Linked DNA regions of Arabidopsis thaliana. The protein of the gene in region 3 interacts with the protein of the main gene of each other region in a pairwise test. Each region holds a gene or a part of one and is shown on either strand. Other genes may lie near its edges. The genes, in order: AGL36, AT2G18090, AT5G46710 and ATU2AF35A.

The links.
Region 1: the proteins of AT5G46710 (region 3) and AGL36 interact in a two-hybrid assay, tested with the Arabidopsis thaliana proteins (one large-scale study listed by BioGRID).
Region 2: the proteins of AT5G46710 (region 3) and AT2G18090 interact in a two-hybrid assay, tested with the Arabidopsis thaliana proteins (one large-scale study listed by BioGRID).
Region 4: the proteins of AT5G46710 (region 3) and ATU2AF35A interact in a two-hybrid assay, tested with the Arabidopsis thaliana proteins (one large-scale study listed by BioGRID).

The regions. Positions count from the first base shown.
Region 1 is NC_003076.8:9,340,681-9,347,757, forward strand, and holds AGL36 (AGAMOUS-like 36), read left to right. Parts: upstream 1-3,104; coding exon 3,105-4,205; 3' UTR 4,206-4,331; downstream 4,332-7,077. UniProt on the Arabidopsis thaliana protein: Probable transcription factor.
Region 2 is NC_003071.7:7,860,301-7,869,901, reverse strand, and holds AT2G18090 (PHD finger family protein / SWIB complex BAF60b domain-containing protein / GYF domain-containing protein), read right to left. Parts: upstream 5,709-9,601; 5' UTR 5,402-5,708; coding exon 5,112-5,401; intron 4,999-5,111; coding exon 4,919-4,998; intron 4,843-4,918; coding exon 4,655-4,842; intron 4,502-4,654; coding exon 2,585-4,501; 3' UTR 2,082-2,584; downstream 1-2,081. Other genes in the region: AT2G18100 (transmembrane/coiled-coil protein (DUF726)), read right to left, coding at 1-81, 175-272, 388-540, 652-820, 1,003-1,488, 1,578-1,659, 1,753-1,973.
Region 3 is NC_003076.8:18,949,652-18,957,538, reverse strand, and holds AT5G46710 (PLATZ transcription factor family protein), read left to right. Parts: upstream 1-2,846; 5' UTR 2,847-3,054; coding exon 3,055-3,117; intron 3,118-3,647; exon of another isoform or gene 3,648-3,800; coding exon of another isoform or gene 3,801-3,815; coding exon 3,816-3,995; intron 3,996-4,076; coding exon 4,077-4,295; coding exon of another isoform or gene 4,296-4,337; exon of another isoform or gene 4,338-4,481; coding exon 4,482-4,700; 3' UTR 4,701-4,936; downstream 4,937-7,887. Other genes in the region: TRN2 (Tetraspanin family protein), read right to left, coding at 5,100-5,411, 6,007-6,504.
Region 4 is NC_003070.9:9,612,879-9,620,507, forward strand, and holds ATU2AF35A (U2 snRNP auxiliary factor small subunit), read left to right. Parts: upstream 1-2,028; intron 2,029-2,258; 5' UTR 2,259-2,273; coding exon 2,274-3,164; 3' UTR 3,165-3,479; downstream 3,480-7,629. Other genes in the region: CYCT1;3 (cyclin T 1;3), read left to right, coding at 48-182, 264-436, 514-659, 902-1,089; AT1G27640 (uncharacterized protein), read right to left, coding at 1,585-2,028. UniProt on the Arabidopsis thaliana protein: Necessary for the splicing of pre-mRNA. Probably active at the 3' splice sites.

The DNA.
Region 1 (7,077 bases), 9.6 Mb from region 3:
CGGGAAAATCACGGATTTACGTTTTTGTCGGGAAAATTACGGATTTCTGTTTTTTGGTGGATAAATTACGAGTTTACGTCTTCTCAATTTCATCTCTTGTATATTTAAGAAATTTGGAAAAATATTGATTTTCTTAAATTGGTTTAGATGTGTTGGTTAAACTTAAATTGATATTGGTTTAGAGATTTTATTTGGTTTAATTCAATTTTACAAAATTTGATGGGTTAATTGGGTAAACCATTGAAACCATTAACCATTACAACCCAACTCATTTTACTCATCAAACCAATTGACCCAATAACTCATTTGACCCATCAACTCATTTGAGTCAAAAATTTCAACTAATTAGGAATCATGGGTTGAGTTGAGTTGAGTTGACCCATGAATTCTGACCCATTTTGACACCCCTAATCATAACGCTCGAAGTTAAAAACATAGACCATGTCTTCATTCTCATTTTATCAACTCTATAACGTTGCTTATAAAGTCATAATAGCCTAATAATCATCATATTAAAGTAAAGAATTTTAATTATATTTCTTATAATATAATAGTCTTCTAGGTCACTATTCACAATCTTAATTATTTTAGAACAAATAATTGTTTGTTAATAAGTTAAGAAAACACCAAAAATTCATATATGTACTTCTAAATTATTTATTTAATACATCTAAACTTGGGTTCGCAAAAATCGCAACTCTTAAAAAACAGAATTCGTTCTTTCAAATAGTTTTCAATTTGACATTTACACAAATCTCTTTTCAAGCGGATAACAAACCTCTACCAAAACTTTTCTACAATCTAAGATATTATATTATTGAAATTGTATGCTTTTATCTTGATAATTAATAAAAGCATTCCAAAATTCTGAAATGTGGGTTCCAAAGCTATGATTGGATCATATTTTCTTACCAATTCTCTCATGTCTACATAAAGCTATTTATTTTAGGGATATTAATAAGATCAAAAATAGGGTAATGCCAGCTAAATTACTCTTCATTATTAGCTGGTAAAATTTATTTCTAAAAGTGCAATGAAAAATATATAATATCGGGTCAATGCCCCAAAAGATATAATATCCACATGATTTTATAAATTATAATTTTACAAATAAAAAAAAAGACAAAAATCATATTTATGTATTAAACTCTTGATTTTACCCAAATTATGCATATATTTTCTAAATAAAAATAATTTTCATAAATAATTTTTTATATGTCATTATTAATAAATAAATACATGTAGTCATATTAATGTATTAAACTCTTGATTTTACCCTTATATGTAGTCCATTTTTAAAAATACTCTTTCTCTTGAGCAAAACAAACAAATTACCCACATCTAATGAGAAACATGTAATTTATGAACTGAAATTTTCCCGCCGAATTTATTTTTTCCCTGACAAAAAAAAATTCTACCAAAATATTTTTTTTTCCGCCAAATTTTTTTCCCGCCATTTTTTTTTCTCTGTAACAAATGTTTTTCCAGCTAAAAACATGCATTTAAAAATCTTTGTAAAGGTTTTTAAAAGCTTTGTAAATTTGTTAAAAACCCTTGTAAATCATTTTAAAACCTATTAAAATCTTTATAAAAATTTTAAATATATATGTAAATACTTTAAAAACCCGTTTTAAAACCTTTTGTTTTACATTTTAAAACCTTTTACAATAATTTTAAAAGATTTACAAGAGTGTTTAAAAGATTTACAAGGATTTTAAAAACATTTGTAAATGTTGTAAAAATCCTTGTTAAATCCTTTAAAACCCTTGAAAACTATTTAAAAACCATATAAAAATCTTTTAAAAACCCTTAATAATTTTTGAACCATTTTAAACTCTTATGAACCCCTTACAAAATGTTTTAAAAACCCTTGTAAACCATTAAAAATCTTTTAAAATCTCATGTAAACCCTTTAATAATTTTTGAACCATTTTAAAGTTCTAGAAAATTATTTTAAAAATCTTTGTTAATCTTTAAAAACACATGTAAATCTTTTAAAACCCTTTTCAAATCTTTTAAAATCACTTGTAAATCTTTTAAAACCCTATAAAAATCTTTTAAAATCCTTTGTAAATCTTTTTAAAACCTTTTACACTTTATAAAAATCTCTTAAAATCCCTTATAAATATTTTAAAACCCTTTTACACATTTTAAAAATCTATTAAAATCCATTGTAAATCTATTTCCTGCGAAATTTGTTTTTTGCGGGAAAAATCTTTTTTAAAACAAATATTATGGCAGAAAATGTTTTTTTGAAATTTTTTGGCGGAAAATTTTTTTCAGAATATTATAGGCGGGAAAAATCAATATTTCATTTTTTTACCTAAAACATATTTTAAATAGGGGTAAATAGTCATTAAAAATTAAAAAAGGGTATAAATGAAAATAACAAATAAGAAAGGGCAATACTGAAAAGGGATTGTGTTGAAAGGGCATTCATACCAATTATTCAAAGTTTTTGGCGTTTCTGTGAGATGTACTTTGCATATTTTCCAAGTTGTTTGCCCATTCTAAAAATTTATTTGTATGATTCAGAGTACATCTTTAAATTACTGTAGATAACAAACTTTCTGAAATTTACTTTAGATAACAAACTTTAGAGTAATTTCTAGCTTACCACAATTCTATATACATTGACAATATATTACTGTATTTTAAAAGTACAATCACTTAAAACTATTGCAAAACTTCATATTTTAAGAACAAAGTAAGCTAGAAATTATTCTTAGTAAAAAGAAACAATGAGAGTAAGAGAAATTAATTCGCCAAAATAAAAACAAAACTTAGAAATACAAAATATTATATTACATGCCCCCTCGTATTACATGGATAGATTTTTTTCTTTTTTTTGTCATCAGATATTATTTAGGATCAGACGTACCAAACTTTGGATAAGAAAAAATATTTTTATATAGATAATAATGAATTACCTGGTCAATTAATTGATAAGAGATTTCCTGGATGTTATTTAGAATTAATTAGTCCACCAAAGTGATAAGAATCCTAGTGTCTATAGAATCACCTTTCTTTGCTATATAAACATCCTTTGAGCAAACAAATTAAACAAACCACACAAAACAAAAAAAAAAAACAAATTGATGGGGATGAAGAAGGTGAAGCTATCTTTGATAGCTAATGAAAGATCAAGGAAAACATCCTTCATAAAGAGGAAAGACGGGATTTTTAAGAAACTCCACGAGTTGTCAACTCTGTGTGGTGTCCAAGCTTGTGCTCTCATCTACAGTCCATTCATACCGGTTCCAGAGTCATGGCCGTCAAGGGAAGGTGCTAAAAAGGTGGCTTCAAGGTTTCTGGAGATGCCGCCGACAGCCCGAACCAAGAAGATGATGGATCAAGAGACTTACCTTATGGAGAGGATTACCAAAGCAAAAGAGCAACTAAAGAACCTGGCTGCTGAGAACCGAGAGTTACAGGTTAGACGATTTATGTTTGATTGTGTTGAAGGCAAAATGTCCCAGTATCATTATGATGCAAAAGACCTTCAAGATTTGCAATCTTGTATAAATCTATATCTCGATCAGCTTAACGGAAGGATCGAGTCCATTAAAGAAAATGGTGAGTCGTTGTTGTCTTCCGTCTCTCCTTTTCCTACTAGAATTGGTGTTGACGAAATTGGTGATGAGTCATTTTCCGACTCTCCTATTCATGCTACAACTGGGGTTGTAGATACTCTTAATGCTACCAATCCTCATGTTCTTACGGGCGATATGACTCCTTTTCTTGATGCGGACGCAACTGCGGTAACTGCTTCCAGTAGATTTTTTGATCATATTCCATATGAAAATATGAATATGAGTCAAAATCTGCATGAACCGTTTCAACACCTTGTTCCTACTAACGTTTGTGATTTTTTTCAAAATCAGAATATGAATCAGGTTCAATACCAGGCTCCTAATAATCTGTTTAATCAGATTCAACGAGAATTCTACAACATAAATTTGAATCTGAATTTGAATCTGAATTCGAATCAGTATCTGAATCAACAACAATCATTCATGAATCCGATGGTGGAACAACATATGAATCATGTTGGAGGGCGTGAAAGCATTCCTTTCGTGGACGGAAACTGCTACAACTACCATCAACTACCATCCAATCAACTACCAGCCGTTGATCATGCTTCCACCAGTTACATGCCTTCCACCACCGGTGTCTATGATCCTTACATCAACAATAATCTCTAATCACAAAAGAGGGAGAAGAACTAGTCTAAGTGTTCAATTGTTTGTATTTGTGTTTTCTTCATTTCGAAAGACAAAAACTAATGTTGTTTATTAATAATGGTTAAAGGATCTCTTTTTAACTTAATTATGTATTTTGATTATTAAGTAATGTTTTGCCCCCAAAAAAAGATTATTAAGTAATGTATTTGCTCACCGTAGTGTGGGAAACTTTAATTGTAGAATTTTATTTCGAAAATTTAAGATGTGACTGGTACAATATTTAGACGGAAATTTTCAATTGAATTCTTTTAGGACCCATACATAGAGAATAATTGTTTTCCCCAGCAATTTAAAGTAAGAACTATTATTCTTTGAATCAATTATCGATTTGCCATTTTTTGGGATGGTATCTGTGGATTTTGTCCTTTTCTGAATAGTTTGTAGATTTTGCCTTTTTCACACTACGAAAATATGATTTAACATGTGTTTTATTCGTTATGTTTTGGTTTAGTCGGTTGTGCTTGTTCTTAGGATTTAATATTTTGTATAAACTACGTATTTTTACCAAAAAAATCGGAAATACATACTTTTTTTAGTGTTAGAAAATGGCATATCCATAAGATTTTAGTAAAAATTACAATTTCAAAAAAATTCTATGAAAAATGGCAAAAGCAACAATAATCTCTTATTCTTTTCGAAAAAAATTATTTGATAACAAAAAAAAAAGAACTACTCTTATTCAATGTTAAAAAAATCGTTAGGCGCTAGTTAGGCTTTCGATAGAAGCCTTGAGCCTATATCGATCAGTGCCTAGGTCAATTTTTTAAACATTGTTCCCATTCTTTTGGGCTCAAAAAAATTAGGTAGAAAATTTGTTCTTCCAAATTTTGCACCAGTTAGACTCTAAGGGGGTGTTATTGGTTCCTAATTTTCATGACTTTCCATGACTTTATTTTGTGAAGAAAAATGTAGAAAGAAAAAAAGTGTGGGTAGTTTTTAGTCTTTCCATTATAACAAAAATGTATAACTATATAAGATAATACTAGAGAGCTGTGTAAATCACCTAAATACTGTTTTAGGAAAAAAATATCTTTTGATAAGAAAAAACTTGCAAAAAATACATCTACACACCATCACAGCATTGATTACAGTATATATGTGTATGTGATAATATTCAGCATAAAATCTAACTGTTTTCTTAATGTCAAAACAAATATATCATTAGTCTTTTATATAGCCTGCTCCTGCATATTGTGAAGATTTAGTTTTTCTGGGTTTTCATTACATGTTTGTTTGCTTGTGCAAATATTAATCATCTCGTGTTATTTTAAATTATGTTAAAAAATCGAGGGTAATAATTTGATAAATTTTTGTTTGTATTTTGTTATAAAATTATTAGTAAATTTAATTAGGTTTAGTTGCAAATAGTGCTATGATTTATGGTCTCATTATTTTTATTTTTTCATTTTTTTTGTCCACAAGATCATTTTCATAAAAATGAAAAGCCCATTGAGTTATATAGATGATGAAAAAAGCCCAAACCACCAGCGTTTACAACTTCAATTTAAATTGAAGTCTATTTATCCTACTAAAATTTAAAGATAAGGACGAGATTAAAAAAGTGTTACGTGCGGTATACGTGTCCACACGCGAGAAGGAGATGAGATGACACAAACGTAGCTAGCCAAATCCACGATCAGCGCAGCTCCGCCGCCAGACTTCAGATCCACCACCGCTCCTCTTCTACAGCGCTGCCCGTTGCTAAAGTCGAGAGAACCCCATCGAATCCATCTTGAAGTAGATCGAGAAAAAACAAATCTTCATAATCTCAATCTGCTCCTATAGTAGGAAGCTTCGCCTTTGGCCGTAATAGGCCTATATCCATGGATAAACATGTGGAGATATTACTCTCGTATATATATAAGAAGAGTTGAGCTGACGGTGAACAAAGAGGATCTAACCAATAGCTGCGGCGATTTGAGTTTATGTATGTAGAAAGAAGAGAACAAAACAGATCCGATCTTAGTTGGAATTTTATTGTCCGAAACAAATACAGAGATGAACAACAACAAGTCACTAAACCTAAGCTATAGATCTAAGATATGATTTGGAAGAGACAAAACAAAGAAATCTATTTTACAATCTGATCAATGTCATAAAAAGAAGCTTTCCCTCTCTAAAAGATATGGCAGAGGTAAGGGAGAGGAGCGTGATTTAAGTACTCATTAAAAAACTCGGTGAGTGGGCTAATCGATCCTACACTCACCCTAAAGAGATTAGCCAAGTGATTAAGGCCCAAAACACCTCATAATATCCAAAAATAATAATTTGGTAAAGTTAACTATCACACCTTTCCTCTGACCACTTGGGCCGAAACTCAAATGGCTACGTTAAATTAAGAACTAATTATATAAATTTGGTACAACTCAAGATTTTATTTTTACAGTATGTAAACTCTAAGCATGCGGCACTTGGTTATTTGGGTGTAGTAATAATTATATAAATTAATACTCGATAGATTAAAATCTTTGATCCCTAATAAGTGTTTAAGATCATTTAATTAATAAATTAATAACTGTATAAATATTGAAATATCATAATTTCGATATTATTAATTTATAGAGGTTAAGCTTTATTAATTTCTAATTTTTTACTGTTATAGATTCACTAATTTTTCTTAAAAGGAGCATGTATATTCTCAAAATTAGTCGGATGTTAAAACGAAAAAAATTGAAATTGGGTGCTAAATATTAAAAAGAACAATATATCCATGAAACAAATTATCTTTCTTTTCTTTAGCCACATGTCATGAACCAAAATCTCTATTACATTTTTGTTGCTATTTGTAGTTGCTTCCATTAATATTCATACAAAGGTCGAACTTAACTCTGAT
Region 2 (9,601 bases), on a different chromosome or scaffold from region 3:
GCTAGTTAACCCTTCCCAGGGTTTTACAAAGTCTTCTTCCTTTAAAACAAAGCCAGCAACTAAGATCTCCACCGCTAATCGCTATTACACCAACAAGAAAAATAAAGAAAGAACAAAGAGATCAATGCAGAGCAAAGAGATTTCAACATGAAACAGCAGGAATTTAAAACTAACTCCTTGATTATGATTTTCTCCAATAGCTTTGAATTCAAACTCTTCAATGTCACCAGTTCTCCTAGCCATCTTCGTCCCAGTGAGCCCAGCTCCAGCAGCTATTCATGAACACATGTAGAAACAAAACAGAAGACTAAGAACTATACAATTATCATCACTTTGATTCATTTTATTTCTTAAAGGAATCTAAAACTGATTCTACTTTTTATTTACCTCCAAAAGATGCTGCAACAGCAACAGAACCAGCAACAGTTCCGGCAGCCTCAGCAGCTGCAGCAAACCCACTGGCTCCAATTACCGGAACTATTGTGCCTAGAGTTGGAGCCAATGCACCGAACCCTGCAGCTATTGCTGGAGCAGCCAATCCTGTTTCACATAATATGTAATCAAAACAGATTAAGAATTAGCATTTTCCAAACACATACTCTTAATTTTCTAAACGTTGGAAGAGATATTAACAGTTAGAAGACATCATACCACCAGTGATGGCCATCAATGTACCCCCTGTTAAAGCAGCCGCTCCAACTATGCCTCCACGTTTCCACTTAGCCCATTCACTATTTGGTGACAAAGACTCTTCTTCCTTATTTCCACTTGACTTTTGCAATGCCATGGCAGAGCATGCAGACATTGTCTCAACTGCTTCCTAGAAAATACAGAAATTGATTCTCAGGTCAATCCAAATGCACAAAACAGAGAATCCTAAATATCCCAATGTCATCAGATCCTAAATCCTCAACAAGATAGCTAACATGTAACTATAGGGTTGCTATGCTATGTGGTAGCATAAAATTTACAAAATAATTTGAATGAATGAAGCAAACAGACCATTTTAATCCACTGAAAGTCAAACCAAGTAGCAAGTAACCGCAGAGCAACATGGTGACGCGCATCATAGCCTTTCCTACGCCGTGTACATATCTCATTCTCCTCATGTTTATCTGCCAAGCAAGCAGATAGTAGCTCGTAAAGAACATTTATCTTTCTCTCATGGCTAAGCAATGCTACTTCCCCAACAGGTTTCTCATGTTCAACAATCCCAAGATTGTGGCCTCCATCTCTAATTTCACCCTCCCCGTGGCTCTCCGTTTCCTTAACCTCAGCACCAGACTGTGCCTCGGGAACAGAATACTTGTCGCGGCATTCGTTTTCGAATTCCACATGTTTCTCCATCTTAGATTCCACAGATAGAGAGCTGCTTCGAATGTTTTGATCCATAGCATCAGCAGCTTTAGCTAAGGCGGTCTCTTTCTCCACCATTTCACTAGAATCATCATCATCATCACTCACATCCTCTGAGAGTAACTTGATAAACTACAATAAACCAAAAGTAACATCCAATAAAGAAGAGCTCCTCAACATTCACAACGAAATTTCAAAATACGGAGAGAAATTAATCATACCGCACCGATGTGATCCTTAGCCTGAGTAGAAGCAGCTATCTCTTCAAGGCCATGCCAAGCTGATGAATCAATCTGAAGACATCTGAAAGCAAATTACAGAGACAGCTCAAAATGTATACATTACACACACAGAGACGCATATGAACATGACTATTCCAGATGATTTCAAGATCACCTGAGAACAGGACGGAGGAGGCCGGAAACTTCGTGGACCCAGAGATCCGCCTCATCGGAGATAGGATCACTGTCGCTGCTGATTGGCTCTCCGGTACTTCCGGTGGCCGGGATTCCCAATGGCTTTGACTGGCTGATCTGCGCTTGGTTAAGCGCGATTGCAAACAAAGCGCTTGCCGCGTATCTCTGCGACGGCGTCAAATTTGACGTAGCTTCCACCATCAACTCAGATCAACAAAAACGAAATCGAAGAAACAACAAAAAGTTTCCAAATCCAGAAACGATCAATAGAGTTCGTCTCATTTTCCAAAAACAAGTAGAATAAACTGGAGCCTACACTTGTCATGATATAAATAGATTTGAAACATTCAAAACAAAAAGAATGAAACGTTACACTATCATTATCATATATATAGAATAATAAGATGATATGATCCCTACAAATGTTTTGATTACATCCATGGACAACAATTTCTTCCCATTTTTATACTTGTTCCTAAGTACAAACAATGTAAAAAAAAAAGATACAGAAGTTGGGTATGTCTGTGCAAATCTTAACACAGGACAACGTTACAAAACCTAAATACTGAAGAAAACAATGGGTGCAGTCAAAAATACCGCGAAGAAACATCTTCTACATATGCACCACTCGTTTTTTTTCATTTTTGCTGATGATTCTGCCATTTATTTATGTTCTGTAATAATCCTGCAAAAAAAAAGAGAAGAAAGAGGGCATAGTCCACCATCGATCAGACGAATCTAGGACATTGGATGATCTATGGTAACCTGTGCCCCAGGTTATGATTTCTCTCTATGTGAACCCGAGCCCACGACTAAAAATGCACGGTGCTGTTAGATCGTGAATGCATTTGAAGATCGTTTGTGGAGCTCATGGAGTCACCTTTGCTTACATCTAGTGCTGGGCTATGTCCTTCTGCGGGACTGAAGCTATCGTTTATTGAGTGCCGGATTAATAATTCTTCAGGACCACGGAATGTCGAAGTTGGAGAAGGAAGACGTTTTTGGGACTCCATGGCTTCCACTTCTGCCAAAAGATCTGAGACTGATTCGTCGCATTCGTCAGGTCCAGCCACAATGGGTTGCCAATCAGTGGTAGTAGATGCAAAGTTGAATTTGAAAGTTGGACTAAAGAGATCTAAAAAGTCTATTTCTTGATTGTCTGGGAAAGACGTCAAACCCGAGTTCGAATCCCACACATTTGAAGCACTGCTTGGAGTTGCAGCATTCCAGTTCTGTCCACATGACTGGACTGTAGCCGTGACTTGTTTCTCAGCTGAGCCGCTAAGACTACCGTTTTGATTGCAAGCAGTCGTTGCTGCACTGTTTCCATCTGTCTGACCAGCACTCCATCTTTCATGTGGTGGCAGAGAGCAGTTTGAGTTTCTAGGTAATGTAGCCAGCGAGAGTGAACAGCTTATTGGGCTTTGTACAAGCAAAGAACTTTCAACTTTTCTTTTGTCCCAGAGAGAGATAAAACCCACAGTATCCCTTTCATTAGAAAGAGAAAAATCCAATGGCACGGCGTGGCTACAATTGTTTCCGCTTTTGTTACTCACATCCGAGCTCCTTGTGATGACACTGTTACTGCTAGAAATAACACTCTGGTCAGTGCACACTGAGTTGGGGCTGAAGTCAAGTATTCTACTCTCTATTTTAGGAACAGCCACAGACCTGTTTTGATCGTTAGCTATAGTAGCTGTCACTTCCTGCTTGGGGATAGAATGATTCTGTAATAACCCTGTTTTATGGAACTGCCCATTTAATGCGTCAGTCAAAAGTATGGAGCTGTGTTGCTGTTCACCCAACCTCCATATTCTCAGCTCTGGTGGGAAATGCCCGCTTGAATTCCATTGTCGCAGGTTATATAACGAAAATGGTCCATGAATCTTCCCATCTGGATCTCCATATAACCATACCATATTTGTATCCAAACCATCAATTGGCTTATTGGACAGAGTGGCACTTGTGTCAGGTTTTACAACTGCATGGTTTCTGCTATCAGAACTGGAAGGTCTAACTTGAATACTGTGCCCGTTCAATTGCTGTGATTCCCCTTCTTGATGCTGTTCAGATGTATTTAACCTATCACAGCTTCTGCCCGCATTAACCTGGTAAGACATAGTTTCAGTGACTCCTCCGGCTGAATTATCTGTGACTGGAGACCTAACTTGATCGATGAAGTGAGAATCAAGAAGCTTTAACATTTCCAAGTTGTCCACTCGCTCCTTTCCAAACAATCTCATAAGCTTGGAGTCACACATTATTTCAGAATTCTGAGGAGAGTTTTGTAGATTATTCCGTCTCACATACTCTAGCACGAGAGTTTGGACATCATACTTTGATAAGACAGAAATATCACCGTTTTTCATATACCCCACAAAGTCCAAAAGCTCATTGGTTGCCCAAGTAGCAGCACTAGTCAATTGTGGAAGTCTGTCACCCAAAGAACAGTTTGAATCCAAAGAAGGACCCAAATTACTCACAGAAACAGCATCCATTTTCCTTACTTTAGCACGACGTATTTTCATAACCCCAGGAGAATTTCCATCATCCTTTTCATGAACCCGACTAGTAGTTCTTCGCTTAGCGGCAGTAGAAGAAGAAGATTTCCATGGATTTTTTGCTTTGGTAAGATCATCTAACGATAAACCTAGCTTTTCTTTAAGAGAAACCCAGTAAATCTTAAAAAGATACTCCCAGCTGCCTTGATCATCAAAATCAACCTGAACCTAGAAAATGTACATGTAATACATTTAGCTAGAAGAAAGAATCCACATTAAAAAAACAAAGCGACATTACAAGAACAGACCTCAAGTTCCACAAATAACCTTGTAGTACTGCGAGTAAGAGAAAGTAACAAAATGTAGACAGGATTCTCATACCTTTTCTTTGTTAGCTTCAGCTGCATTCTCAATAAGCATTATAGTCTTCATACAAATTCCACAGAATCCTTTGTTCTCCCTTACAACTACATACTCTGAGCTTCTAACACACCTCTTACAAACTGAATACGGACAAGTATAACACATGTAGAACGAATCCTTTTGACAAGTAGTACATATGTGCCAACCTGAAACCAAAAAACCATCCTCATCACTATGAACCATCTCAAAGAAGAGAAAACAGATAAAAATTGAACAACTTACCACAATTCCATTTAGATCTCGATCTGAAGAATGCTTCAGTACGCTTAACACAAGCTGGGTGATAAGCCTTTGGACATCCCCTGACAAATTAAGAAAGAATCATCATCAGTCACAAGTAAAAGTTTCTATTTTTACAAGTAGGAATGTAATGGAGCTGGGAGAGTAACTTGTCTAAGCTCAAAACTTCACTAACCTACGATCGCAGAGAACAAGACTACCACCATCGAAGCAAACAAAGCAAACATCTTCATCTTCTCTTCTCTTCCTCGAAATCGGAGGCGAAGAAGCTTTAGCTAAAATTCTCGGCGGACGACCACGTCTACCTCTCTTCTTCAAAGAATCGGAATCTTCTTCGTCTAACTTCACATCCGAATCTAACGGAACACCACCACCATCGAAGAATCCCGGAGGAGAAGAAGAAGAATCATCTAATTTAACATCGGAAACACAATGATCGACTCTCATAAGATCGATTTCCGGCATCGATTCGTTGTTGGCTCCTCGTGAAGCCAAAGAACACTTTTTTTTTGCTTCTCAGCTCAACAAAAAGACAAGAACGAGGAAGCGGAAGATCTGAGGTTTTAAAAAAAGAAGGGAAGGTGAAGCAATCGTGGAAACCCTAACCCTAGGGTTTGGAGGAGAATTGGGAATTGGAGAAGGGAGGGAGGAGGAGGTGGAGGAGATGGTGGCGTGTAAGGAGAGAAGACACAGTGGGCACATGGAAAATGGACTTACTCGTTACTCGCCAAAAGCAAGAGAGAGAGAGATGTGACAAGGCAGTGTTTGGTTGTCTGTCTCCTTTTTTTGACTTTCTAGAGAGAGAAAGAAACAACACGCTTTTTTTTTGTTGTCTAAACGCCGCGCATATGGCTGGTTCCACGTGGGCAAAGTTGAGGCTGGTGGGAGCCACTCGCGTCTTTTCCCATAAAATAAACTATTATTATTTTTAATTTTTATTATTTTTTTAACAGAGAATCTTGTTACCACTAAAAATATATATAGGTGACTAAGCTACAAGATGCAAAAAAATCACGAGGCATTAGAAAAAATTGATCTCTGAGTTAGAGGAGTATTTTCAAATTTATATTTTAAGTAATTTAAGATTCATAATGATTTATTAATTTTTAATATGATTTTAGGTAAATTTAGAGAAATTTATGATTTGTTGTAGTCTGGTTCCCCAAATTCTACATAAAAGAATTACATTTGTGTTTTTTAATTTTATCTAAAATTTTTTTCTAAAATTCTATAAGAAATTATTCAATTATATATTTTATAAAAAAAAACTTCAATTTTTCAAATATCTTAATCCTGTCTTTCTACATTGTCGTAAAAATTAGATAAACTATGGTTAAAATTAAAACACAAAATTTTACAAAATCTCTCATAATCAACTTCGACATCATACAAACATCAGAGAATTTCGCTATAATAAATTAGAATTCGTCAATTTAGGTTTTTTACTTTGACAATTTTAGAGTTTAGGTTTGATGATTTATAATTTTATTGAAGAACATCATGTTATTTTTGTTTACAATTTGTGTTGTATAAGTTTATATATCTTTTTCAATATAAATATAGTTTGTCCAATTTCATGATAATTTTTAAAAAGGGAAATTTGTATTAACATATTTGAAATTGAGGAATTTTTTCACTATACACCCTTAAAAACTAATGATATGAATATTTTCAATAATAGTGGAATTAAAATTATTATTCAAATTATTAGTTCAATAATATTTGATTTTAGAAGATTCTTAAAATATAATTGATTGACATAAAAATTTGTTATCGTAATATATATTATTTTAAATATTATTATTTTTGTATATTTATAAAAAAATTCCACAGCTCGAATTAAACTCTTAACCCCACCATTTGTTTATTTTTATTTGCGTCGATTTAGTGGGGGAGGCTTCGTGTCTTAGTCTAACACGGACTGTTATATTAATGTAATTTATTAGATATTATTTTTTGTTAAATAATAAAGTGGACCAAAGCGAAAATGAAATTGAACTACTTTTTTTTTTTCTTATGTGCAAGATGTCGTGGTCGTAGTTTCTTGCTTTGGTCTTCTACTCGCTACCTAACCATATATCTTATCTTTAATTCTCATTTCGAGATCTTCTTTCTCTTAAAAGAAAAAAAAAATCAGCTATTAATTAGTTGACAAACTTTTATATAAAATAAACGAAGTGGACATAACGATTCAAGACTCAATACTTTATTAAAGTTGCAATGATTTCTAGCAGGATAATGTTTTATAACTAAGATTAACTGATTTTTTAGAGTTTTGTTTCATTTTTTTTTTTATAACAATAATCTTTTCCAATAGTACAAAACGACACTTGCAAAACATGAGTGTTAAAGAAACACTATGAAGTGATAGAAGATAGACCTAATAATATTAATGCGTTCTGGTCTCTAGTCTCTAGTAAGCTTTTATAGGACAAATCCATGGTAAAAGGTCAAGATTTATACGTACAACCGACTAATCTTATAGTTGATATGTCGATCGACGACGAAAAAAGATGAACATGTCACGTTTAAATATTATATGTAGTGAGCTGAAATCAAATTATAGTACATAAAACAATGAAAAATCGATTGGTATATAATATATAATTCGTGATCACATACAAACATATTATCAAACTGAAGTAATCCATTGATCATAGGTCGATGTGACATGAGCTATCTCACTAGATTGTCATTGTTAAACGTATTTATCAATATACAATATATAGGATCACACATGCAGTTTTACGTGAACAAAACAGCTTTGACTTCGAATGATAGAGATCAGAGGATTTTATCAAAATAAAATATTTAACAAAACAATACCGGCAATTTTTAATTTTAACTAATGGAACTAGTTTAATAAAACCAGGTGATATTTTGTTACAAATTAAAACCCAGAAAACAAATTTAATTTCCTTGTGAATTTGTTCAAGAAATTCAGGTGGTTTTTTTTGGGTGAAAACAAATGGTAAAATTAACATTAAAGCTCCAGTACGAAATACGAAAAATTTATTTACCTCTATTTGTTTTGGTTTGGGAGTAAAATGAATATGAAACTTAGCCTTTCGTTTTGGTTGCAACCGATGATAATCAAGATGAAAAATATGTTTTTTGAAAGAGGAAAGATGAATAATATTCATAATAATATTAAGCTAAGCCTTTTAGCTAGAATGAGAAACTTAATTTTATTAGTTTATAAAGAAAATTATATTTTTAGTTTTTTTTTATCAAACTGATAATTTTTATTAAAATTAAATCTCAAACTCAGTAAAAAAAGAAGAAATACAACCCAAATAAAAGAGAAATACAGTATAACCTCTATAAATTAATATTCGATAAATTAATAACTTCTATAAATTAATAAATTTTTCTGGTTCCGAGTTGGGACTAGTGTAAAAATTGATACAAATCGATAAATTAATAAGATAATAAAATTTTTGAAAATTCTATGTAAATATATGGTCCCATCAATATTTTAAATTAATAACTGTATAAATTTATGAATATATATATTTATATTTATGAATATATATTATGTAAAGCTTAGTAAAATATGACTTTCGTATTGTTTTATTTTAATTTATATTAGTTCTTTGTAAAATTAAATTCTAATAATTTTACTACGTATAAAAAAGTTTTTTTTTGTTTTTAAATCTAATAATGGTTTTCTACTCGTAATAATTTTTAGAAAAATTATTGATTGTATAGAAAAACTACCTTTTAGATCACATTTTTGTAAAAAATTACAAAATTTGTAAAATCTCTGCATAAATTAATACTTCTTTAAATTAATAAATTTTCTCGGTCCCGACATTATTAATTTATAGAGGTTTTACTGTACAAGATAACAAGACAAGAAAACCTAGAAATACTCCAAAAAAAATACATAAATGCAAGACACAACTTTACCAAAGAAAACAAACGAGATCGAAACATGACGATCCAAACGACTTCAGAAGAGACTGTATCCATTGCAACCCAAAAGATTACCAACTCCGCAACAAGAGCAGAGAAAGCTAACAACGGGGAGGAAGATCCATGCAATACCTTGAGCATTGGCAATTATTTTGTTGTCGATATAATTTAGGAATTGCAGTCTTTGTTTGTGGTTATGCTTCCTCATCTTAGCACCTATTGCCTGTTTCTTTTCCCAAAAGTTTTTTTTGTTTGGAGTGGTTTGGATTATCAAGCGTTTCGGAGAGACGATATTTAGTTCTAAACATACAAATTAACAAACAAATGAAAATCATTTCTCCATATATATTACTTGTCTTTTGGGAGAAAATCAGAAAAGAAATCGAACATTCGTGCAACAAGAACGAATTTAAATTCAACGCTCTTGCTTTTTTATAATAAAACATAAAATAATGAGATCCCAACAGTATAATTACTTATTTATTCCTCCGACATGGATTGACAAGAACCCACTCTATGACTATACGAAGTAATTTATTTTATCATCAACTATTATACGAAATTACGAAGTAATATATATATATATATATATATATATATATATATATATAGGCACAAGAATGAGTATTTATCATTGTAACCTTAAATATTTAGACGTTTGTTCTCCGCCCCATACTTCAACAGTCCACCTTTTACATGACTAAATAAGAAATTGTTAGAGAAAGGGGTGATTTTAATTTGCTAAAA
Region 3 (7,887 bases):
CATAGGATACAAAAACCATGAAAATTAAAATACAATCTTAAATTCATATTTTTTACCTTCTTGTTTTTAAGTATATCATTTATTTTATAATTTATTGTTATCCATAATTCATATTAACCAAACGTTTTCATAAACTTGATTTTGTTTTTCCTTATTTCTCTCTTTTTTAATTAGTTTAGCAAAAATGAAAATGAAACAGAACATAACTTTAGCTATTTTCCTAATCAATGTTTTCAGGTTGGTTTGTTTTGGTTGCAACCTAGAAAATTAGTTTCTTTAGCAAGAATATTAAATTGCCACCTACAAAATTTGATTGCAACATACAAAATTAGTTATTAAAATTGTATTACATCAATGAAGGTATTAGTTTAAACACAACTTCCCTTTCAGGTGATGCATGATAGGAATAGTTAGTATTGACTTCGCAACTTAGCTTTCCTAATTAATGAATTTAAATAGAAACATCAACAAAAATCAAACACTAAACACAAAAGGGTATTGCGTAATCACTCATCTTTAAACCTAGATTTGTGCAGTAATCTCCTCCTGATTTGATTAAATTAGTGAGCAAAACATAAATGTATTAGGTTAAATTCTCCCAATTAAGAAGCTTATCTCTCTTTGTAGCTCTAGCTCAACGTACTATGCATACAAGGATACAACATCGGTCCGTTGTTTGCATCACATTCTTTCCAACTCATACTTATGAGTAAGCATATAACAAAAGTCATTAAATACGCATTTTTGTGTATAAAAGCATAAATGATGTAATAGGAATTAACTTATACAAAGATAGCTTTGCATCACTGTCACATTTGTGTGAGAGGTTAGGTTACCGGATAATTAATTTTGTTATAGTCAGATTGGATATCATTAAGAGAAAAATGTTACAACTAACAATATAATAACGTGTAATAACTAAATAAAAAATATAATATTGCTGAATTAATACGCTTCTTATTTTTTTTTTGTTAAGAAATTATAATAACGTTTTTTTTTTGGTGAGGAAATATAATAACGTTTTGATCAAAAGATATAATCAAATAATAATATCCCCTATATATTAATAGAGAAATGCACTTAAGAAATTAACTTTTAGCTATCTTGGTATGTACGCAGATGTCATATTGACGTATCGCAATTAGAGCAATTCTTAACAAACTTGATTCATTATCCATTATTTCTTAATTTACTTACAAAATTTTTCATTATTATTAGATATAAATATCTCAACAACATAAAAATAAAAAACAATTTCTAATTAAAATTAGTAAATAATTAAAAACTAAACTCTAACTAAAACAACCTAATAATTAAGCAACTAATATTTCAGAACTTAATATATAACTACCTTCATTTTTTTATATAAACATAAAAATATATGTTAACAAAGATATTAATAATAATCAATGTATGGTAACAATTATTTCTATGTAAAAAATTGTTGGTTCAGATAAAATAAAAAGGTATATTACATTACATTATACACAAATAAACTTCAGATTTTAAATAATAATCCATAAATGTTCTAATTTACTATAATACATTTATTTAATAATCATTTTATCTTGTACATAGTGCGGAAAAACTATCTAGTAATATAGTATACGCTCTTTTACATAATTAGCTGTTGATTTTCAAAATAAAATAACTAAATAAAAATACGGAAAAGAAAGATCAAATCAAAACGTGAAGGTTGATGATATTAATTCAGCATATATTTTTTTGGTTCAAAAATACTAATTCAGCTGAAGTAAGAAGCGTATATTGGTCAATACTATTTTGCGCCATTGTCAGAATGATTTGTTTCTCTTCCCACTAAAGAATTTTTTTCTCCAGCAAAAGATTCATTACAACCGATAGAACAATACCTAAAAATAGAAACAAGGTAGTGCAAAGTAAGAAACAGCAAATTGATAAATAGCAATATCTTCTTCCACACTGAAAAACTCTTGGTTTTTACTCTTGGTCTTTTTCGCCATATCATATACATCGTAGCATGGAAAACATAACGAGCAATGAAACTCTCCATTCGATCTTGCCACTGACCCGAGACTGTAGCAATTAAAACAGACCAGTTTGTAGAGTATTTGGCCTTGTAAATCTTTTTTGCTATGTTTTCTCATATTTCTGCTGCAAACCAAATTCATATATTTTCTGTACCGATAGTTTTTGTTTTTTTTTTAACCAATTTCAACTATTTTCTATTTCGGTGACAAATTTTTAACCCGAATAAACCAAAAAATTGATTACACCGATCTAAATAAACTGAACCGACTAAGTTTATGCATGAGACATAGTGTTTTGATTTTACGAGAATTTATTGATATGGCGAATGATAAAAATATATATTTTTAATAAAATGCTAAAATCTAGTTTTTGTAAATTGAAGACCTTTTGTCAAATTTTGATTTTAACACTAAATCAAATGGTAGATATGAGATATCAAATTGCAATAATGGAGCAATAACTTTCTAAACACAATAAATATACTTTTTTAAAAATATATTAAAATATCAGAACTTTTCAGCAATGGAAAATGGAAATAGTTATAAGTCTCTCACAACCAATTAATGTGATGACTATATAATAGTTTATAATACATACTTTTTGTGAAAAGAAAAACCAAAAAAGGAATAAAATTTGACGAAATTGATTAATATTTTTGGTGGAAAAATAATAGTGAAAGAGAGAGAGATAAGACCAAAGAAGGACAGAAAGATATTTTTAAAATACCAAAAAAAAGGAAATAATCAAATAAAATTAGAAAATTCCAAGAGGGTTCCTTGAACCCAACGCTTCTTCTTAGGCTCGGGGCTGGTTCGGGATTAGGTTCGGAAATATTATACATTGTCGACATTGGTAGGATAAGTAGGACTCTTTCTCATTGCTTTTCGCTTCGTCTTCTTCTCTCTAAAACTCTTTCTCTGCAAGAAAACCAATCTCTCTCTCTTTCACTTTCTTAAACCCTTTATCTCTCTAAAACCCTCCTTTTTAGGTAAAAAAGTTTTGGTGCTGACTCAAAAAAGGTTGGGTCTTTTACTGCATTTTGAAATGGCGATTGAAGATTACGAGAACCCAAATCGAGAAATCAAACCTAAGAACAGAAGATTCATGGTAAGTCTAACCATAAACCCTTTTCTACATTATCACATTGTTGAAACTCTGTTTTCTCATTGTTATATCCTCTGTTTACATTGTATGCCCTTTGTGTTCATACGAATCTTCTACTCCTTATTTTTCGATTCTAAGATATGGGTTTTGATTGAATTGAGATTTTCCACTAGAAACAAGAGAGTTTTGTGGATTTTCCCTAATTTTTGTTGTCAGATGGTCAAATTCGAGTACTTATTGAAAATGCTCTGTTTTGGTGTAAAGAACAATACTTAATTTTCTAATGTCACAAAGAACAATGCTTGAATAATGTAGTTGTTAGATTAGGGTTTTAAATTGGGGGAAAATGTTGAAGAAGAAGAAGAATCTTGTGATAAAAAATTAGGATCTTTATCGAACTAGATTCACGGCTTAATATTCGATTCCGTACTTATCGCCCTTCAAATTTGCTTCTGTTTTTATAAAAATTTATAAAAAACAGAATATATTCTGCAAGACGAATTTGTGGATTCATTATTATCTTTGGTTGCAAGATTATAAAATAAACCATTAGAGTCTCCTCAAGTCTATGTAAAGGAGGAGACTTTTTTGATAATGTATAAGACAATGGTGTCTCTGGTAGGTTAAAAAGCCAACTGTTTTTTTTTTTGTTTTTTGAGTTCTTTTGGGACAATGGCTCATGAGTTATGTTGTGTTTGCAGGAAGGAGAGAATCAGTGGCCTATATGGCTCAAACCTTTACTAAACCAACACTTTTTTGCTCAATGCAAGTTTCATGGACACTTACCTAGAACCGAATGCAAAATGTATTGCTTAGACTGTACCAATGACTCGTTTTGTTCTCTCTGTCTTTCTGAACACGAGAATCATCGTACCATTCAGGTGTGTTTCATCTCTGAATCCAAAGTTCTCGTATTGTTTAATTCAGGTTTTGAATGTTAAGAAGTTGTTGGTTTGCTGCAGATAAGGATATCATCTTATCATAATGTGACAAAGGTCGATGAGATACAGAAATACTTAGACATATCAAGCATTCAGACATATGTGATCAATAGCTCAAAGGTTTTGTTCTTGAATGAGAGGCCTCAGTCTAAGCCTGGTAAAGGTTTTACTAATGCCTGCATGGTCTGTTATCGTGGCCTTGCCGAAAACTGCTTCCGCTTCTGCTCTATTGGCTGCAAGGTACATTTACCTACTTACACTCCAATTATCTTCACACGTTAAGCATCCATTACCTCCCTTGTTTTGTGGTTACTTCTAGTTAATTACAGTAGAAAAGTTTGAAGCTTTTGACTTGCTAAAATATTGGAAAGAGTCTTTCTTCTGATAAACTTCTTATCTGTGTTTTTGTGGTGATTGAATCAAAAGGTTGCAGGAACATCTGGAGTCTTCCAGAAGAGAGTGAAGCATACAACGAATGACTCAGATAATTCAAACAACAGTTCTGGAGTGGAGAATAACAGTTCTGGAGCAGAGAATGGTAATTCAAATCTGCAGAGTCTCAGTCCACCTACACCTCAATTTCCTCCTCGTTCTCTGCGAAAGCGACTAAGGAAGGGAATTCCTCACCGAGCTCCATTTAGTTGAGATTGTGATCAAGAAAAAGAAGAAGAAGCTTGTGTTACGTAGTGCTATGGATTAGTCAAACAACTAGTAAGTGTATATATATATATACAATATCTTCTTGTAAAGTTTTGGTGTGATGCAATGAGACTAGACAGTGAGTGGTTTATGGTGTTTTTATGACTATTTCCTTGTTCTAAATTTTGTTTTTGATTAGATTATATGACAAAAATAGATAATTAGTTAAGTTTCACAAACCCAAATCAAAGATAGATATACAACATAATCTTCCAGTTACAACGAATGTTCAGGTAGTTCACACAAAAACATACTACAGGGGCCAAAACGTAGAGAAACTAAAATACAGGAATCCAGTAAATATTAAAATTCCTCGCAGTTTTGCCACTAAACTTCTCATCTTGATCAAGTATAACCCTGCTTGTACTTCCTGAAAATATCCTCAGTTTCCGCATTACGGAATGCGCAGCACCCGATAATGTAGACGATAATCAATCCGATAAGCGCCAAGAGTAGAAAGATATCCGCTTTTAACCAATCTACCTTAATATTTGCGAGCAAGCCGGCTTTACAAGAATCACAAGTGTAACACAAAGTGTTTTGGTCATTGCTCCAATTTAGACAATCCATATCAGCAGACATATCTATGGGACTTATCCAATAAGTAGGATTAACAAATGTGAATCCACATTTTGTTGGGGGCTTGCAGCAACCAGACTGAAAGTAAAGAAATGGGGTTAAATTTAAATAATATAAAATATTGGGGCCAAAAAAGTAGTTCGGCGTGACTGATTAAGTGCACATAGTGGAAGAATCTAGAAAGTTGGGACGTTTTATATTATTTTATTAAAAGGTTAAACTTTTCCAGTTTTTGGTTCCCACAAAGCCTATAATAAGCTAAGAATCATTTCTAATTTATAATTTCATTACCAATCCACCTGTTCTTTTCATGGCCATTCGATTTCCCCCTGTACTTTTTATCTATTCAATTTACACCCTAAATTTGAACTCGATGTAATAATCTTCAACTGAATTTTCAGCTTTTTTTTCTAATCAAAAGAATATATTTCTGAGTCTTTTAAGCGACAAACCTAACAAGCAAAGCACCAATTCTATCTACATTTCATTACCACCCCTTTTCTTTTCATAGCCATTAAATTTTCACCCCATACTTTCTCATATTCATTTTACACCCTAATTTTCTTCCACTAATTAACAAACTTAATGCAAAAACTAATTAACAATTACAAGCAACAAAACAACAGAGAAAAATTGAAAATGTATTTGAATAAAATGGGAAGAGGATACTTACTTGAATGGGATCAAGATGAGCATTGAAGAAATCTTGAGCCAAAGTGTATCTCTGATTTAGTTCAGGGCAAATGGTAGTTGTACTCAAACAAGTACGAATCCTTTCCCATTTATAAGATCTCTGAACTCTTCTACGTAACCAACCAGAGAAATCTTGAAGACTATACTCAAGATAAGCTCTACTTGGTTCTGGATGACCAGAGCCTCTTATGGTAACCATGTAAATAAATCCGACAAGGCAACCCAAAAGTACAATGAGAATAAGCATGGCGATTAAGTAAACAACAAGAAGCCATGTGATTCTCCAAAACCCTCCAATGAAACCAGCGAGACCCACTAAGAGGATTAAGACTCCGAGGATTATTACTGGCCATTGAAGAAGCTTGACGCATGAGTTTACTGTTCCTATGGCTAGCCAGATTCCGGCGCCGATGACCGGAATGGAGAGGAGGACGGTGATGAAGTTTATGCAACCAATTACATTGTTGCTTAAAGGCATCTTTTTTGGGAGAGATGAGAGTTTTAACTCTGTTTTTGTGTTCTTGAAATCTGTTTGGTTTGAAATAGAGAGAGAAATAGAATTGAACTTAAAGAGAGACAGAAAAAGAAAAAGATTCACATGTGTGAAAAGTGATTAATGTTTTATAAATATGTTTTTGGTTTGATGGGATTTAGGGTAATGGTAATAATTGAGAGAGAGAGACAGATTTACATGTGTGAAACTGAATAAAGCTTATATGAAAAAGAAGTAACTATTTGAGAAAAAGGTGGATTTATCATTTCTTAAATTAGGTATATTGACTTTATCTATCTTAAAAGAGAAAACAATCAAAGCTATATATTATTACACTTTTGAAAGTATATTTTAAAATTAGTGTATTGGTTTTCAATTTTGATTACCAAATGTGAGTACAAGATAATGTTGATTTAATGAGTTAATCATAAGAAAATTTTGGGAAGATGAGTAAATGACACACAAATTTACAAATACGCTAAGTGTCTAGTTTTCTTATGCTCTTCTTATCATTACTGTATTTAAGGTGAGTAAAAGATAAGTATTTAATAAATTAAACAATATAATAATAATTTACACACATATTTCTTAATTTGAAGATATCTAGATAGTTAAATTTCATTATTTTTCAACATTTCGATAACATTTATGCTTTTAGAAAATTATGAACAGCTTATAATGATTAAATTTAAAGCTTAAAAACTAACAATTCGCATAAAAAACAATCTTCGAAAATTAACCAGAAAAAATCTCTAGTAAGAATTGCAAGAAGTAGGTGAACAAAAAAAAAAAAAGAATTACCAGAAGCAATAACCGATCTAGCATTCTAAAGGCTCAAAACATTCGTCTCTTGTTTTTTTTTTTGTTCTCATGTGTTATTGAAAACCTTTGCGTTTATGTTAGATTGGAACTTCTACATGAACTCACATAAGTCTACTTTTCCGAACTTGGTTATACACGAGAACTTCTACGTGAACTTACATGTCTATTTTTAATACTCAATCACATACACGAGATTTTGATTCAAAAAATGTCATCCGAACTCGGAAACCTTATAACTACACAAACTCTTTATTACTTGCATCTTTTCTTCTAGGACACTGAGACGTGAGAGAATAAGTCTTCACCGGTCGAGATACTAGACTAGAAAAGGCACCAATAAGCGATACCCAAATCCAATTTCACAATGATAAAATCCATTTATTGGTATCAGTGGCGCATCTTCTCTAGAATGTATTCATAAGGTAAAATGGTAAACCAGAAATTGTCTATTTACCGCATAATCTGTTTTTTTTTCTAAAAAAAAATCCTTACAAACCTTATTTTGAAATTCCTTTTTATTTATGTGCAGTGGATAATACCACATGG
Region 4 (7,629 bases), on a different chromosome or scaffold from region 3:
TGCTGCTAAATATTTCCACTTCGGTTTCTCACTCGGTGATTTTGCAGACAATAGCGACTTCCAGTCTGTTCCTCGCTTGCAAAGCTGAAGATGAGCCATGTCAACTGTCCAGTGTCGTTGTAGCGTCTTATGAAATAATTTATGAGTGGGATCCTTCTGCCTCAATTAGAATCCATCAAACTGTAAGTGTATACATACATCTATGTATTGGTAAATTCGCACTGTGCATTTTGCTAATTTATTACATGTTGCTCTGCCTGTAGGAGTGTTATCATGAATTTAAAGAAATTATTTTGTCCGGGGAAAGTCTTCTGCTGAGCACAAGTGCTTTCCATTTAGACATTGAACTTCCCTACAAACCTCTGGCTGCGGCTTTGAATAGACTGAACGCTTGGCCTGACCTTGCAACAGCTGCATGGAATTTTGTGCATGACTGGTAAAGACCCTTGTTAATAATATCTGCCCGATTTTTCCCCTACATTGAGTTTGAATCTTATTATGCATTGTGTGTAGGATTCGAACCACACTATGCTTGCAGTACAAACCCCATGTTATTGCAACAGCCACTGTGCACCTAGCTGCTACGTTTCAGAATGCGAAAGTAGGCAGCAGGAGAGATTGGTGGTTGGAGTTTGGAGTTACAACTAAGCTATTAAAAGGTTTGCTGTTCAAACTCTATTTTTTCCTCTGGTATTATTGCAGTCATTTGATCAAGTGAGATGTAGTGTTTCTATAATGTTAGCGCTAGGAATATGTGGTACTGTAGCTCCAGCTCATGTTAGGTTCTTACCCTGTGCACATATTGAGTTTGGAATTAGGTAGTGGCCTGAACGAAGAGATGTGCTGCTATTGATTTTAGCGGTTGATTAAAAATAATTGGATGTTTTCATTATGGTGACAGAGGTAATCCAGGAGATGTGCACACTGATAGAAGTGGACAGAAGGAGGAATATGCCACCTCCACCTCCACCTCCAAGAAGAGAGTTAAGTTGGGCAATACCTGCAGCCGTAAAGCCGGTCCATATGGCTAGAGCTTATCCGTTTCACAGCTACCCTTTGCAGTCCTATAGACAGGCTGGCATCTGGTGAGCCATTGTTGAGCAGCATGAAGATGTAATCTCTCTTAGAGTCTTGAGTTGGTTTAGCAATAAAAGATTTCCGTAGAGACTCATGAGAGAGGCAGTGTAGCATTATATAGAGATCCGAGTGAGGTGCTTCTGTCTAAGTTAAGCGTCTCATGTATGACCAAAGTGGATTCTCTCGAGATTCTTGGTCTCTGTTCTCGATAGAGAGAGATTATGTATAGAAGTGTCCCATTCACATGTTATAATACTAGCTGACTTTATATCGTTTGTATATCTGGAATCTATGTTTTTGGTTTCTTTAAAAAGTTTAAAGTTGTTTTGATTTTGACTAATTCTCTCATTGTTAAGTAATTTGGTTTTTGATGAAGTGCTATTAGGTCTGTGTTGAGTTGAGACTTGAGACGAACACAATCATCATATGATCAAGCTTATACCGATCGGATAAGTAATTAACCGGTTCAATTAACTACACCTAGCTTATACCGATCGTATAAACCGGTCAAGAACCAAAACCGCTTGGTTTCCATTCTAGACCAAACCGGATTCTAGTTTCCATTATTATTATCTTTTTTATCGGATTAAAAATATAAATCCTTATGTCAGGAGATCCCATTCTCTGTCTCTCTGTCTTTCTCCCCCAACTCGCGAACAAAGCAAACCCTAGATCATCCATCGGCGAGTGAGACGGCAGCTCCTCGTCGGTAATTCCTTCCACCGGCGGCGACCACTCACCCTCAGATCTCTCAATCCCACTCATCTCTGTAACATTCTGTACGCTTTCTCTCTCTCTTTCTTCGCTTTTGTGATCTATTACGGCTCGGTCTCTGTGCCTCCCAGCTCTATTTTGGAGCACTGCTTCGTCTCTGTGTTTATTTGGCTCCTTTGTGTGTTTCTCTATCTCTGCTTTTCTTTTGTATTGCTCTGTTTCCGATTTTATATCCATATGTCTCTGGTTATTTGGTTATATCTATGTGTGATTCTTTGTTCTTTTTTCCATTGAATTCAATAGCTGACTAAGATCTCTGCCTTTTATCTTCAATAGTTGCTCAATCTTTTCGCTTTCGTAACATAATTTAGTTTCTTGTTGATGTTTTTGATATCTACCAATCTCTTTTCAATTTATGTCTATATGTTGCTAAATATCTTGTTCAATGACTGATTTCTTAAACTCAGGGTGGAAATTCTGCCATGGCGGAGCATTTGGCTTCAATCTTTGGTACTGAGAAAGACAGAGTGAATTGCCCTTTCTACTTCAAGATTGGCGCTTGCCGTCATGGTGACCGGTGCTCGCGTCTTCACAACCGTCCTACCATCTCCCCAACACTCCTTCTTTCAAACATGTACCAAAGGCCTGACATGATTACCCCTGGTGTTGACGCTCAGGGCCAACCACTCGACCCGCGTAAGATTCAGGAGCACTTTGAGGATTTCTTTGAGGATCTTTTTGAGGAGCTTGGAAAGTTTGGCGAGATAGAGAGCCTCAACATTTGTGACAACCTTGCTGACCACATGATTGGCAACGTATATGTTCAGTTTAAGGAAGAGGATCAGGCTGCAGCTGCTTTGCAGGCTCTGCAAGGTAGGTTCTATTCAGGACGTCCCATCATTGCTGATTTCTCTCCTGTGACGGATTTCCGCGAAGCCACGTGTAGGCAGTATGAAGAAAACAACTGCAACCGTGGTGGGTACTGTAATTTCATGCATGTGAAGCTTGTTTCGAGGGAACTAAGGAGAAAACTCTTTGGGAGATATCGGCGATCATACCGCAGAGGAAGTAGAAGCAGGAGCAGAAGCAGGAGTATTAGCCCCAGGAACAAGAGAGATAATGACCGACGTGATCCTTCTCACAGGGAATTCAGTCATCGGGACAGAGATCGCGAGTTTTACCGTCATGGAAGTGGAAAAAGGAGCAGTGAGAGGTCGGAGAGGCAAGAGAGGGACGGTTCAAGGGGTAGGAGACAAGCAAGCCCTAAACGAGGAGGGAGCCCGGGTGGCGGGAGGGAAGGAAGTGAGGAGAGGAGGGCAAGGATTGAGCAATGGAACAGAGAACGGGAGGAGAAGGAAGAGGGAGGAGCATAAAAACAGTTGTTTACTCAAATCACAATTGCTGCTATGTGGTTTCTGCGTCTGCTTCTCTGCGTTTATTCTGAAATCGGTAAAATCTGGTGATGGATTTTTCATTTGGCTGTTCTAATTTGGAACTTGAAATGAGTGGAATCAACTTCTTTAGATTATAAAATGTTTGGGGTTACTTTCTTGTAGTTTTGATTAGGAAAAACCGCTCTGTCCCCTTGTTATTGATTTTCACCAGTGTTCTTTAGAACTTTGTACTATCTTCTGTTGGTTAAAACTTAAAAGAGTTCTAGTTTAATTCGAAGTTGTCTATTGTTCTTCAATGCTTGGGAATACTAACGAGTTTCTGTGTCATGGTTCAGTTGTGGCACTAATTCGGGTCAAAGCACCTCAGAATTTTAGACAAAGATAAGGGGCAAACACTTTGGGCCTTTGATTGCATTGATTTGTGTTCCAAACACGTCAGAAGTTAAGTCTTTTTCTAAACCAGTTATCGAATGGGTTAGTCTTGGTTGCCATTTTTCAAACATACTGGCTTCCAATTGGTCATGCCAAATATGTAGCTTACTAGACCTATATACTTTCCAAAATTACTTCATAAGCTGTTTGTCTAATTCACGCAATGAATACATATATGCATAAAATACTCCATATGAGTAAAAAGATGTATAATATAGCGGAATATATAACAGAAGTCGACAATGCAATATACATCAACCCTAAACCATAAAATCATGAAGGTCATTTTGGCTTGTAGGCGTCGTCGAGTCCCTCTTCAGTGATCGTTGTGGTTCTTCTGGACAGAATATTCAAATGGTCATATAACTCATAACTCCCAAACGGCCAAACCATTGTTCTAATTGTGATGACGAGTCAAACCACTAATCACAATAAATTAATTACTTTTTTTTTTGTCCCACACATGTTCACAAATATATGTTTAGTTAAAAAACTCAGAATTAATCAATTACAATGCATTAAAATATCGCTACCACCGTCACACCACCCCAATACATCCGTCCGATCTAGCATCAACACCCACAGCCCATCCCATTGACACGGCGGTGTCATTTCTAAAGCATCAAACAAAACATGTCATTGTTTATTCTTACTTTACATTGACTGAATAGTCTGAATTAACATAATATATATATATATATATATTTACGGAATTTTATCATATGAATTCTCAGTTATGGAGATTAGTAGTTCAATAGATTGGCCACGTGGAGAAGTCTTTGCCGTCTTCGCTTGAGTGGATATATTATAGTAATAAAACCCATACGATATCTTGTTAACTTTTTAAAAGTTTTCTTACATCAAAAATATACAAGATATCAAAGTTCAAAAATTAGAAATCTGAAAGATCGTAGCTACATAGTGAAAGATGGATTGTTGAACAGCGTTATAAAGTCACATTAATTCCATGTAATAATAATACCTCAAAATCTCAAATACAACACATGCACGTGTCTAGCTTGCTGCGTTTCTATATACATTATGCAACTGAAAATCGAATTATAATGATACTAAAATGAAATATATGATCTTAAATTTGTTATTGTTAGGAAAATATAAAGATGAGGAATGGGGAAAGTCTGTTGGACAGTGATGCCCTAAATTTGAGAAAGCATATATTCCCCTGCTCTAAAGCCTTTGTCCTCTTCTTAGACAACTTTAAAATAAATAATAATGCTTTCCCATACTTTTTAGGACCCTCCTTTTAAGGCCTTTGTTCTCTACTTTTTTCTATTTGACCCCCAACAAAAAGAGATTATCTTTTCATTTTTTCGTAACATAAAAATAATTTATGATTGACCAACTACGACTATCTATCTTTAATTTCTTTTGAAATCAATTTAATCATGAACCATTGTCAGTACATAGCCTTAGCATCGCCTTTCCTGTCAAAGGATGCAATTTTGTTATGTTTTGGTAGTTTAATTGAAAACTCGTCATAGTAGACAGATATAAATATTTCTCTTCATCTCTTTTTTGTGCTTATGTTATATGAATCAAATGAGTATCCCATTAAGTAAAAGAGAATGAATCAAAGCAGTTATAATAATACAAAAAAGGAAGATTGTAGAGTTATATATTATTAAAAGTTCAAAACATTGAGAAAAAGTAAATGTAAAGATCAAAGCTTCAAGTGTTGAGAAGCATGGCACCTAGGTGGTCTAGTAGACTTTGGTTATAAATTTCAAGTAAAAGAAAAAATGATCAGCACACGAATTTTTTTGTGCCAACCAGTAATAGCAACTCAATGATGTGTACACTAATTGACAAACAAAAACTGAAAACAAACTTTGCTTTATATACCATTACTATTAGTATTACTACATCTAATTAATACCATTGATATTTATTACTTAAATCTTCAAATATTATTTTCTATATATTCCTCTACATATTAATTTATATTTATCAATTTTATAGTTTAATAAAATCATAAATAATTTGAAGCAAAGACTTCGTTAATTATACTTATAAAGTGATGTGTTATGAAAGCGATTGGATGATTGAACCCTGATTGGTAACAGATGTAAAACAAATTTAGCTCCTACACCTAATACTATACTTTTGAAATTAATACTTAAATTTCTTACAGAACTTTTAAAAAGAGACACAAAATATAATAGATTAACACAATATAGTTTTTTAAGATCTAAGGTCAAGTTGGATAATGGATAGAGGGAGCCCATCATTTCTTAATCTTCCGGTACATATGGTGTATCTAAGTGGTCATCAGGTAGTTTGTTATAAATGAGACCATGGACGTAATTAGTGCAACCTTAGTTTCTATATTTTGCATATTGTATCTATTAGTTTGGCTCCATATAATGATTCCAAGGACAATCAAATATACAAATAGACACATTACAATAAAAATTTTATTGATGCAAGTAGATACTCTGACAATCCGCGTGGTTAGTTAGGTATAGGGCTTGATGACACTCTAGAATTTCAGGACGTAAATTCGAAGAGACTCTATTTTTGATTCTCTTGACGAATAATTAAGTTGTGCATGGGCCATTCGTGCTCGGGTTAGGAGTTATTGTACATGATAAGCTTGTTCAACAAGAGTTCGTTCATCTTCGAGATTAATCGAATTAGATCCAGATTACTGCTACAAAATAAAATAGATATTGGAATACATAAATTTGTTTTAAATATTAGAAACATAACAAGAATATAAAGAAGGTGAGATATGTGAGCGTGCAAGTAGAGACGAGAAAGAAACATAAAAAGTGAAAACAAAGTTTTTCCCATACTCTTTTTGATCTCAACACATTCTCCAACGTGCCTTTCTTCTGATGTGAGTCTTGTTGCTCTCTTTTTATATCTGGTTGATCTATTTTTCATTTCTTTTATACTTGTGAATTATTATGAACTAACTAATTGATCGATTAAGTTAGTTGTTTTCCACACTATTAATTAGTTAATTAATTAAACATTCTTTTTAGATGCGATCGAATTGGTGACAGCTTTATCAACAGTACAATACTCATTTTCGTAACTTATTGCACTTTTGAGTCACACTAGATAAGGAATCATTTATGTATAAAATGAGTTCTTCGCTCTTCTAAAAGCGTTCATTTCAACCAAAAAAAAAAAAAAACAGCCAACCATAACATCAGAATATGAAGCATGTTCTTTCCAAAACCAATAACACAAATTACATTGCACGACACATATTATGTAACAACCAATAAAAGTTCGCCGCCTCTTCTATATGCTAATAATGACAATCAACTAGCACCTTGCCAAGTTATTATCTCTTGCATAATTTTTTTGCTCTATCTCTACTTACTATTGATTGTAATAGTTATCCCCTCCTTTCATTGAATGTCTCTGATGGTTATGGAATTGAAATTATGTCGGACTTTCTCTAGTGTTCCGATATAGTGACTTCGACCTTAAAACACGCTTATAAGTCAATACATGGCAGATATCTAGAAATATCGTTTAGCCGGAGAAACATAATTTTTTAATTCAAGGGAGAACTCTTTAATTAATCAAAATGAAAAGAGAAAATTCAAGTAAATTCATTACCCTTTGACTCAAAACACATAGTTTTAAAGTCACTTATCAATATTAAGCCAGAAAACTAAAGCATTTAAAACATGATATACATTGATTTCACATTTCAGTATATCGTAACTTAGTTCAGCTTCTTCCGGAGGGACTTGACGTCATCATGACAAAGAGTGATGAATGGTTTCATGTCATGTACTCCTTTGTAAATTATTTTGGGTATTTATTTATTTTTTCTAGCTGACCTTGGTGGTGGTTCCTGCAGCTTCAACAATTATTCCACTTGGAAAAAGTAAAAAAAAAAAGCCTTGGAGATCATCATTTCCATCTCTAGTAGCTATACGTAACTGCCTCCATTTAAACAACACAAAATGAGTTTCGTTGTTGGCTTTCCAACTGAGTAACCTCATAACCAAACTTTGTTACTTGGATC